Drosophila melanogaster: one gene and its partners. The protein of the gene in region 2 interacts with the protein of the main gene of each other region in a pairwise test. Each region holds a gene or a part of one and is shown on either strand. Other genes may lie near its edges.

What was found.
Region 1: the proteins of Rpt6 (region 2) and odd interact in a two-hybrid assay, tested with the Drosophila melanogaster proteins (one large-scale study listed by BioGRID).
Region 3: the proteins of Rpt6 (region 2) and BCAS2 interact in a two-hybrid assay, tested with the Drosophila melanogaster proteins (one large-scale study listed by BioGRID).

Annotation. Positions count from the first base shown.
Region 1 is NT_033779.5:3,605,011-3,608,766, forward strand, and holds the start of odd (odd skipped), read right to left. Parts: upstream 1,747-3,756; 5' UTR 1,349-1,746; coding exon 1,276-1,348; intron 1,090-1,275; coding exon 1-1,089. UniProt on the Drosophila melanogaster protein: Pair-rule protein that determines both the size and polarity of even-numbered as well as odd-numbered parasegments during embryogenesis.
Region 2 is NC_004354.4:21,314,083-21,317,838, reverse strand, and holds Rpt6 (regulatory particle triple-A ATPase 6), read right to left. Parts: upstream 1,788-3,756; 5' UTR 1,662-1,787; coding exon 1,644-1,661; intron 1,581-1,643; coding exon 1,436-1,580; intron 1,291-1,435; coding exon 236-1,290; 3' UTR 176-235; downstream 1-175. Other genes in the region: CG1801 (uncharacterized protein), read left to right, coding at 2,784-3,001, 3,103-3,688, 3,756-3,756.
Region 3 is NT_033777.3:27,920,728-27,924,137, forward strand, and holds BCAS2 (BCAS2), read right to left. Parts: upstream 1,630-3,410; 5' UTR 1,547-1,629; coding exon 1,472-1,546; intron 1,405-1,471; coding exon 643-1,404; 3' UTR 556-642; downstream 1-555. Other genes in the region: CG12259 (uncharacterized protein), read right to left, coding at 1-267; RpL4 (ribosomal protein L4), read left to right, coding at 2,190-2,192, 2,398-2,578, 2,643-3,013.

The DNA of each region.
Region 1 (3,756 bases), on a different chromosome or scaffold from region 2:
CATCGATGGTGAAGCCCAGCATCCGCTTGGGCTTCTCTGAGCTCGAGGATGACGAGGATAGATCCAGGACAGGCAGATGCTGTGCCAAATTCTCAGGTTGAGGCGAACTCAATGCCTGGTTTGGCACCGAATGTGAAGTGGCTGGTGAGGTGGTCACCACCACCTCCTTGGTGCTCTGCTCGCTGTGGCTCTGGAGGTGACTCTTGAGGTTGGCCCGCTGGTTGAAGCTCCGCTGGCAGATGGGACACTTGTGCGGACCCTCCTCCAGATGGGTGACCTTGTGCACGGCCAGGGTGCGCGACTGGCAGAAACCCTTGCCGCAATCGCTGCACTTGAAGGGCTTGTCCTTGGAGTGGATGTACCGGTGGTCCCGCAGATGATCCTGTCGCCGGAAGGCTTTGCCGCAGATGTCGCAGGAGTAAGGCCTCTCGTCCGTGTGGGTTCTCTCATGGATGAGCAGATTGTACGACTTGGTGAACTGCCGGTTGCAGTACTTGCAGATGAACTGCTTCTTTGGCCGACTGCTGCCAGTTGCGCCGCTGGGTACACCACTCGCTCCACCGGCACCACCCAGTTTCAGGGTGGGCATGGCTCCGAAGTGGCGACCCATGACCGCGGCATGCAGACTATGGAGGCCAGCGGGATAGGGACGCACATGATGCGGATGTGGGTGAGGGTGGTGCGGATGGCCGTGGTGGTGATGATGGTGCGGATGTTGCTGCTGCTGCTGTTGCTGCTGGTAGATGGCTGCGTTGCGGATCCAGTGGTTCATCAACTGCTGGTGCACGGCCACGGGATCGGCGCTGGCTGTGGGATAAACTGGATACTGCTGTGGAGCCTGATGTTGTTGCTGCTGCTGCTGCATCTGCAGCCACAGGCGGTGCTGCTGCTGCTGTTGCTGCTGTTGTTGCTGCTGCTGGTAGTGGGCCATGTGTCGCATGTGCAGCTGGGTGGCCACCGCCTCCTCGCTTATCGCCGGATGCACTCTCCTCAGCGGCTCCTCGGTGGGCGTGTGCGGGGGCGTCAGCATGGGGGAGAGACTTGTCTCGCGCTCCTCCTTGATCACTATGAAATCCTCTTCAGCAAAGTCTAAAAAGGAAGGAATAGAAATGCCCACGGTTAGTTTTCAATTCATATAAATGCAATGCTATGTGAGACTACTTTCAAATATTAATGGAACATTTTTTGAAACTAGTCAAAAAGTGCTAGAGAGTAATGCGCTTTGCCGTCGGCATTTGCCAAGTTGTTCTGAGCCAGTTTTGAACTTGAACCCACCTTGTTCTCTGCTTAAGTTGAGCTCGTCATCCACGGTTATGTTGCTGATGGGTGAGGCCGATGTGGAAGACATTATACTGTCTTTGTTGGCCTTGTGTAGTTTTATTTGGCTTAAAATTGTTTAGTTGCGCGAACTGCACGGTTCACTTTGGCTTAGCACTTGTATCTACGAATGTATCTTTTCTCAGTATATTTCCCAGCTGACTGAGCGTTCTTTTGGATGCGACGTGCCACCGACAACGTCTCGACACAAACTGAATTCGTTGGCCGTTCGCCGCTCTCCGACTCAAACGCTTGAGAATCGAAGTGAAACGAGGCGAGTGGAGTGCTGATATTCCTGTCTCGCTTCCACGTTTGAGTGACTCGTGTTGCTGTTGTTAGTGTTGCTTTTGCTTTTGCTTTTGCTGCTGCTGCTGCTGCCGCTGAGCGATGTTGCTGTTGGGAGTAGCGCTCGTTAATAACTGACTGCAACTGCTGGCAGGGCGACCCGTTTTTGAACCGGCCGAGAAGTGCGGAGGAGGGCGACGAGGGTGGCGAGCGGCCCGACCAACGGCAGCTGCCTGTGGCGGGGTTGAAGTTGTTTGGAAATGGTAGATACGTCCACGCCTACCTGCTGCTCTCGGATTGGCCCTCAGCGTTCGGTATCTACTATCCCATGGATGTGGCTCCGACCGAATGTGCCTGTGGATGTGCATGGATATATGTGCCTTGGCTTTTTCCGTTCCAGCAGTAAGCAAGCGGAAACCGTTGGCCTGACGGTCGCAAGCCTGGGATATTGTTGGTGTTGCTGCTGCTGCCGATGTTGCTGCCGTAGTTGCTGCTGCTGCCGTTGCCGTTGCTGCTGCTGCTGCTGCTGCTGCTGTAGCTGCTGCTGCTGCTGCTGCTTCTGCCGCTGATGGCAGGCAGCCATCGCTGGAGTCCAGCCCGCATCCCAGTCCCAATCCCGAAACGCAGCCCTCCCAGGCGCATGTGCCATCAGCAGGAGCAGCAGCTGCACGAAGGTCCTGTGTCGTCCTGGCGCGTCCCTTCCACCTCCATTGCCATGTCCATACCCATTCCGCGCCAGCTCTCGCTGCTCCTCGTGCCTTTTTAATGTCGTGCTGTCTGCGCCGCAGGATATTGTAATCTATTGTCCCTGTTTGTGTTTGCGCCTGATTCGTTTTCACTTAAATTTTAATTTGCAATACAAATCAGTTTTTTTTATTCCCCCCCATTTTGCTTTACACTTTAATCTGGAATTCAATTAGCCGCTTCAAAGCGATGGCGATAAAAGTTTCGAGTGGGTGGAAACGGCCGTTTGTAGCGAAAATTGATTGGCTTTTAAAAGGGTTTCCGGCAGGATAAGCCGGACATATTTTACAGCAAATTAACGACGAGTTTGAGGTAATGGTAATGTAATTGAAAGACTTTATTAAAAGGATTGTACACAATTACTGGTTAGTTTTGGGTATGCCTTTCACACACCATTTATTTTCGAGTTTTTTTAATTATTTTACTCAGTATTGTATTTATTGTAATTCAGTTGTTTAAGTAGTTGTTAAGTAATAGTTGAACTTTCACCGTTTTCAACTGAAGTGCGACTCGAGCTTGTCAAATCATCTTTAATGAGTTCCTCATTCGAAATGCTTCATGCTACTCACTTGGATAATTATTTAATAATTTGTAATTGAATCGAGACAAGCAGGTGCACTTTATGGGCAGTTTTCTTAACATATTTTGAAGGAAATTGCTTGGAAACTAGAAATAGGTAAAGTCATAGGAAAAGGTTAAAAGATATAAGTTCTGCGGGTTGAATGTTTCCAATCAAAATTTATTGAAGCATCAAATTAATGTAGTTGTTATTTATAGGATATTGTAGTTAAATATCTTTACAATTTTTATTATTATTATTCGGGCTTCTATATAATTAATATTTTTCATATCTCATTTAAAAAGACAAATATTTCATAGCATTCAAGAAAATACGAATTTTCCTCATTAATGAATAGTTTTAAATTGCACATGCCATATTTATGCTTCCGAATTAAATCCTATTCTTCGGTTGGATTTTCCGCCAACTATAAGATATTTCCCAAGTCCGACAAAACATGGATAATGCATATCCTATTATCCTGCTTCCGAATTCCGTACATTCCCATGACTTTGACTTGTCGACTTTCCAGGTGAAGCATTTCCGCAATGGATCTGCGACTAATCCTTTAACTTGGCAAAACAAGAAACATTCCCATTGACTGGTTTTACCCGTATACGGACTTAGGATCCGAGGATCCTGAGACTAAGCCCATTGCGACACACTCCGTCACAAGCGGTCCTTGGCAGGATTGACTTTGGGTGATTAAATTAAGCAATATGTACACAACATTTAGTACAAACTTTCCCAAGCGGCGGCGAGCCAATGATCAAACAGCCTGAATCAATAGGCAAAGGTCCTGCTGCAGGACGTTTTTTCCCAGAGTGCGTGTGTCTGGAACTCTCGGATTG
Region 2 (3,756 bases):
ATCAAGCAGCCAGTTGAAAACACTGCAATGTACTTTTTACAAAGCTGCTACTGTAATCTGATAATCTATTCAATTCTTCAGATATCATTGAACGAAAGTTATCTGTGAAGATCATAATTGGGTTGTGCGTACTGACTAAGGAGTAAATCCAATGACACAATAATGCATTTATGTTACTAACTGATGTATTTATTGAAAATAATATAAGGGTTCTTTTGCAATGGCCGATCAACGCCTACTTCCACAGCTTCTTGATAGACATGTTCTTCTCCGAGTCCTTCTGCATCACCTTGGCCACAGCCATCTCGAAGTCCTCCTGGGTGACATGGACGCGTCGTTCGCGCAGCGCATACATGCCGGCCTCCGTGCAGACGCCCTTGACTTCCGCACCTGATGCGCCTGGCATTAGCTCGGCGATCTTGCGCAGATTAATGCCACGCGTGAGGTTCATCTTACGGGAGTGGATCTTCAAGATGTCCAGACGCGCCTCCTCGTTTGGTGGCGGGAACTCGATCTTGCGATCAATACGGCCGGGACGCAGCAGAGCGGGATCCAGGATGTCAATGCGATTGGTGGCCATGATCACCTTGATGTTCTTGGTGGCCTCAAAGCCGTCCAGCTGGTTAAGTAGCTCCAGCATAGTACGCTGCACCTCGGAATCGCCGCCGGAACCTGACTCAATACGCGACGAGCCAATGGAATCGATTTCGTCCATGAAAATAATTGATGGTGCATGTTCCCGGGCCATTACAAAGAGTTCTCGAACCATGCGCGAACCCTCGCCGATGAATTTCTGGACCAGCTCTGAGCCAGAGACGCGAATGAAGGTGCACTCGGTGTGATGGGCAACGGCCCTGGCCAGCAAAGTCTTTCCTGTACCTGGAGGTCCATAAAGGAGCACTCCCTTCGGCTGGGCAATACCCAAGGCATCAAACAGCTCTGGATGCTTTACGGGCAACTCAATCACCTCCTTGATCTCTTTAATCTGTTTGTCCAGGCCGCCAACCATTTCGTATGTGGAGTCAGGAACTTTTTCAACCATCATAAGCGAGACCAGCGGATCCACCTTATTGGGCAGAATCTTGTGCAGCGTATAGCTCTCATTGCGCAGGGCCACGCGGCAATTGGGGGTTACGTCGTTGATATCTATGTTTTTGTCCAGATCGACGACGAACTTGCCCTCGGGATGCACCTTGACCAGCACTTTCTTCTTGTCCATGGGCTTCACAACCTCGCCCACATAGCTACCCTGTTCCTGGAGCAGCTGCAGCTCCTCCCGCAGCATCCGAACTGCAAAAGACGTGCTAATTAGGATTGCTTTCTCAAATTTAAAGATTTTTTGATATTAAGACCAAGAACAAGTCTTATATGTTTTCTATATCCTACAGCTAACCAACTATGCACATTATCTACATATGTGTAACAGTAAATTTACCTTTAGCATTGAGCTCATTGCGCTGGGCCTGCAGTCGTCTCAAATTCTGGTGCTTCTCGGCCACCACCAGCTGCAGTTCCTCGATCTTTTGGATGTAGTAGGACCGGAATCCCTCGCCTTTATGGTAGGCCGACTCGATTTCCATCTGCGAAAACATGGAGCATTGGTTTTTCGCGGTGGAAGAGCTGGGGGAATCAAATGTACATACCCGATTCGTCACCGTCATCTTTCGTTTTCTGTTTACACTTTAATTTGTTATTATTTGTCGAACTGAAGGACCACAATGCAAGATGTCGAATTAATTCCTCTTTATTGTATGACTCTGCATTTGCTTTTCGAGATGACACATGCCGGTTATCGCACTGCATTCGGAATATCGATGCCATCGAGCAATCGGCATCGATAAAAACGCTAGGTGGTAAAAAACCTAGCTAAGGTTTTCGAATTAAATGTGTCCAGTAAACAATTAAAATTAAATATAACAAAACACGACCTTACTCGTAGGATTATACCCGTCGTAGAGTAAATGGAGTGTACTAGATACGTTGAAAAGTATGTAACAGGTAGAAGGAAGCGTGTCCGACCATATAAAGTTTATATATTCTTGATCAGGATCAATAGCCGAGTCGATTTGGCCCTGTTCGTCTGTCCGTCCGCATAAACTTCAAGATCTTAGGAAGTTTAAAAGCTAGAAGGTTGAGATTAAGCATACAGATTCTGGAGACAGCGCTAGTTTGTTGACCCAAACCACCCAAAACTGCCACGCCCACTTTTTTAAAAAATGTCTTAATATTTTATTTTTATATTAGTCTTGTAAATTTCTTTCGACATGCCAAAACCGATACATTTTTTCAATTTATTTACCAATTTCTAGACAGAAAAATGATGATATTTCTCTGAGTAACGGTTATCTGATAGTCGGGGAACTCGACTATAGGTTTCTCTCTGATTCGTGGTAAAATACATTGTGTTCTCTCTTGTTTTTGCGTAGCACCAGCGATTTTTAAGTAATGAACTTGAATTAGCCTAATACCGCTGCTAATGAAAAAAATGTAATGTATTTCTAATTAATTGTGAATACTTAATGTGACAAATTCTAAGCTTGAAGGTGTTCAATATTATCTATGAAAATTTCAAAACATTGGGCATGTAAATGCGTAGTCTGAAATAGTCATCAAAATGTGCTTTGAGAACAAAGTACTGGTATGTTTTAAGGCAAAATAAGAATATTTTCAAAATCCCCTGCCGAAAATCAAACTTCTCACACTCAAACCATCCGTTTTGTGCGGGAGTGCAGACCCGCCAACCAATTTCTGTCGTTTGTTAAATTTATATTTTAAATTGTAAAATGCCGGCCAGCAAGGGTCTTCTTTTCAAGCGCTACATCCGCATCGAGTTAAATCTGTGGCGGCGGACGCTCTTCGAGATCGTCGCCCTAGTGATAATGGTCCTAGTGATCTTTCTCAACCCCATCGCTCACTCCAAAAGGCTTCTATACACGACCACCGAGAACGAAAACGAGCAGAGCATCGTGTCCCACAAACTGCAGGACATAAATATATTGACGTAAGTGCATAGTATTCACCTACAACCTTTTGAATGTAGCGCCATCCAAAGGCGCAACTTAATGCTCCTACCTATTTATATGGTTTTGTTACCTTCCGCAGACGCATGGCAGACTCGAAGCGGGAGAAAACCAAGTACATCCTGGCCTTCACGCCGGAAACGACGTTTACATCGGAGGTGACCAAGAATGTGGCCAAAACGCTGGAACTGAGCTCAACCGTGGGCTACGAGAGCGAGTCCGAAATGCAAAATCAGTTCGATGAGCGGACTACCCTGGCGGGCATTGTTTTCAATGATCTGCGCGATGACGGCACTCCTTTGACTCTGTCCATCTCGATTCGGTTTCCCAGCGAGTTCCGCACGATCGCTCCGTTCCTCACCGAGGATCGCCTGTGGATAACCCGCTGTTCGGGTCGCATTAATCCCGGACGGGATCGGGCCAAGCACGATAAGCAGCAGGATATATATATTCGCGAGGGGTTTCTGCAGCTGCAGCACCAGATCTTTGTGGAATGGTACCACCAATTGCGCAAGGACATAGTTAGCACCTATCCAGAACCCAATGTCGAGGTCTACAACATCCTGCTGAAGGCCGCCGACGAGCCGTGCTCCGTGATGAGTGTCGCCCAGCTGCCCACATTCCTTTATAATTTTATATACCTACTGCCCTTTTTGAATATCATCAGAGTAAGTACACCATCTACACCACCTAACCAACATGAGATATAAGGACGCTTTCTGGCCCAATTCTCAGA
Region 3 (3,410 bases), on a different chromosome or scaffold from region 2:
CTGGGCGAGCTTCTTCTCCCGTTCCCGCACTATATCCTCCTGCTTGGCCTTCATCTCGTCGAGGGTGACCAGACCAATGGTCGAGGACTTGAGCTGCTGCTCCACGGCATCGTAGTGGGTGGCAAACTTGTTCTCAATCTTGTCCAGCTTGAGCTCCTCCTCGATCTTCTTCTTGCGAAACTCGATCTCCTGCTGCTGGATCTCCCGCTTCTTCATCAGCTGGGCTGCACGGCCCGCCTCGCTGGCGGCACCTTTGTAGTGGGCCATCCTTAGTTGTTTCTGTATTTATTTATATTTTTTTTTATTTAATTCGTAAACGAAATTTGTAAACATCCAATTGGTGTGACCGTAGCAGAAACATTGAAAAATGCCATTCTTCGTATAAAAAATTTACAGCACAAAACACTACCTTACCAATTTGAAATAATAAAATATTTAATCTTGAAATTATTTAAAATTTACTAGCTGTCCATTCCCCTGATATAAGAGCAAAAAGAAGAGGATCACTATTTCTCTGCAACGATTTTGAAAAATAAAGATAAATCTTAGATTTTTAGCTGTTTTTTTTAATATCCTTTATATTTAGTTACAGTCGTAAGTTTTTCTTTAACTTGCTTCATGCTTTCGCTCAGTGTACTAAATCTACGTTGATCCATTGGAAGATTCCTCCTGTGCCTCGGATTTGTCCTCCTCCTTGCTGTCACCATCGGCATCTGTTCCATCATCGCCAGGTTGGCTTGGATCTGGATTGCTGGAGCTACTGCCGTTGCTCTCGGCCAAATCGTTCTGGTCGAAACCATTCGTGTATTCCGGCGTTGGAGCCGTGTCATTGGCGCTGGGCGGCGGGGTAATCTTCCGCAGCTGCTGACGGGCGGCATGGACGATCTTTTCCAGCTCGACGCACTCCGTCTCGATCTCGTAGTTCTTGGAGACCAGCAGCACCCAATGGGCTTCCAGGGAGCGCAGTCGCTCGCCGGCCTGCGTTTGCGCCTGCTTGCGCTGCCAGTTGACATCTTGAATGTCCTTCTTCAGCTGCTGCAGCTGGAGCTGCGCCTTCGCCTGCATGGCGGTGAAGACCTCCAGGTAGGACTTCCATGCCTCCGTGCCGTAGTCGAGCATTAGCTCCAGGTTGAGAGAGCGCACCCACTGGTGCTCCAGCTGGGCCATCGAGTTCTCAATGGCCTCCTGCCAGGCGGACACCTCCGACAATTTGCCCGATGGCGGCGGTGGCAGTTCGTAGCGCTTCATGGAGAGCGTCTCCATGGGCAGGCGGTTCTGGATGCGCTCGAACTCGTTGGCCATCAGCGGAGTCTCAAAGGGCGAGCTGGCGGGCAGTGGCAGATGGTCAAGGTAATTTTTTGTGGGCCTATAGCGCCGGCATTCCTCCTCCACCATGGCGAGAGCCTTTGGAAGAAGAAGATGCCATTTCAAAGTCAGTTTCAACGTGCAACATGGATATCCGTATATTTACCGATTCCCGGACGCCCACATCGTCATAGCCGTGATCTATGTAGGGCAGAGCATCCACAATAACTTCGCCAGCCATTATTTATTATTAATTTCTGTGTTTTGAGACTGTTTTTTCCGCAAGTAAACAAATACAATTGCCGCTTCGCACTAGTGTGGCACATTTAGCTACTTTATAGCTATATAAACGGATAACAGAATGCTGTTAATTAATAGCCATATATCTATTTAGTAAATTTTTTTGTTTTAACATGAACATTTAAGCAAAAAATAAGCGTTGTTTTCTCACCAATAAAAGTTGTGTAAGTTAGTTTTTAACGTATGTATGTATTATGTATTGTTTGATTATTTATTATGCGGTTAAATTACAACAATTGTATTCTTGTTCTTTAAAAACGCATTGCTAATTTATAAATTTAACTAAAATACGTTATTGATAAATTCGAATTTAGATTTGTAATATTATAGTTTAATTGCGAGAATATAAACAAAAACTTCTCTTACGAGAGAAAAAAAAAGCTAAAAGTGTTGGACAGCGTCCAATTAGCCCTGTAAGCTTGACACTTGCTGCTGTTAGCAAATGCAACCATGCGCCGTGGAACGCGATTGGCAGCCATTTCCGGCAGCTCTCTTTCTTTCTTCGTTCTTCTTAATAAAAAGAGGACGGTATCTGCGTTTGCAGAATATTTAGCACCTTTCATTGGGTTTGAAAATCAACGAAAATGGTGAGAAACGAAGCACAAGGCACTCCGCAACCGCAGCAGACCCCAAAACATTGGATTTAACACACGAAACGATGCGAAAATAGTGCAAAAGTGTCGCCCTAACCTCCACGTGTTTGGAATGTGCGGCGATGGCGAAATGCGCTTGTTGTGTTTTGTGATGTGAAATGATCAGTGAACTAAACCCGAATACCATGTGCACTTTCAGAGCTTAGGCAACGCCAGGCCATTGGTCTCCGTGTACACGGAAAAGAACGAGCCAGCCAAGGACAAGAACATATGCCTGCCGGCAGTGTTCAAGGCGCCCATTCGTCCGGATGTGGTCAACGAGGTTCACCAGCTGCTCCGCCGCAACAACCGACAGGCCTACGCCGTCAGCGAGCTGGCTGGTGAGTAAACTGTTTATAACTCCTCTTTTGTGTGAATCTAACCCGTTTGAATTCCTGTTTGCAGGTCACCAGACCTCCGCCGAGTCCTGGGGTACCGGACGTGCTGTGGCCCGTATTCCCCGTGTGCGTGGTGGCGGTACCCACCGTTCCGGCCAGGGAGCCTTCGGCAACATGTGCCGTGGTGGACGCATGTTCGCCCCCACCAAGACGTTCCGTCGCTGGCACCGCAAGGTGAATGTCAACCAGCGTCGCTACGCCCTGGTGTCGGCCATCGCCGCCTCAGGAGTGCCAGCTCTGGTCCAGTCCAAGGGACATGTCATCGACGGCGTCTCCGAGTTCCCGCTGGTCGTGTCCGATGAGGTGCAAAAGGTCCAGAAGACCAAGCAGGCTGTCATCTTCCTGCGTCGCCTGAAGATCTGGGCTGACATCCAGAAGGTGGGTAACTTTGTACACCTATGAAGAACTTAATCCGAAGAATGTTAGGTCACTTAACTGTGCGTCTATTCAACTTCAACGTATTTATTTAACAAAACGTGAAGTTGTGATGTTTTAATTGCAAAGTTATAACTTTTTATTGGATTCCTACTTTTCGGATGCTTTCTAAATCTTACTTGGCAGCGTGCAAGCAACTGGCTACTCTTCTGGTTGTCCGATGCTTGCAGGGATCTCCTGCGTTGCCAGATAAAATGCTCTTCTTGGCGTTACGATTGAAACTTGATTCACGGCTTCCATCGTGGTAACGGAAGAGCAACAGCTGTTGTATTCATGTTCTCTATTTCCGAATTCCTGGAATATACATACTCACTATCAACTTGTTTCTCATTCATTTCGC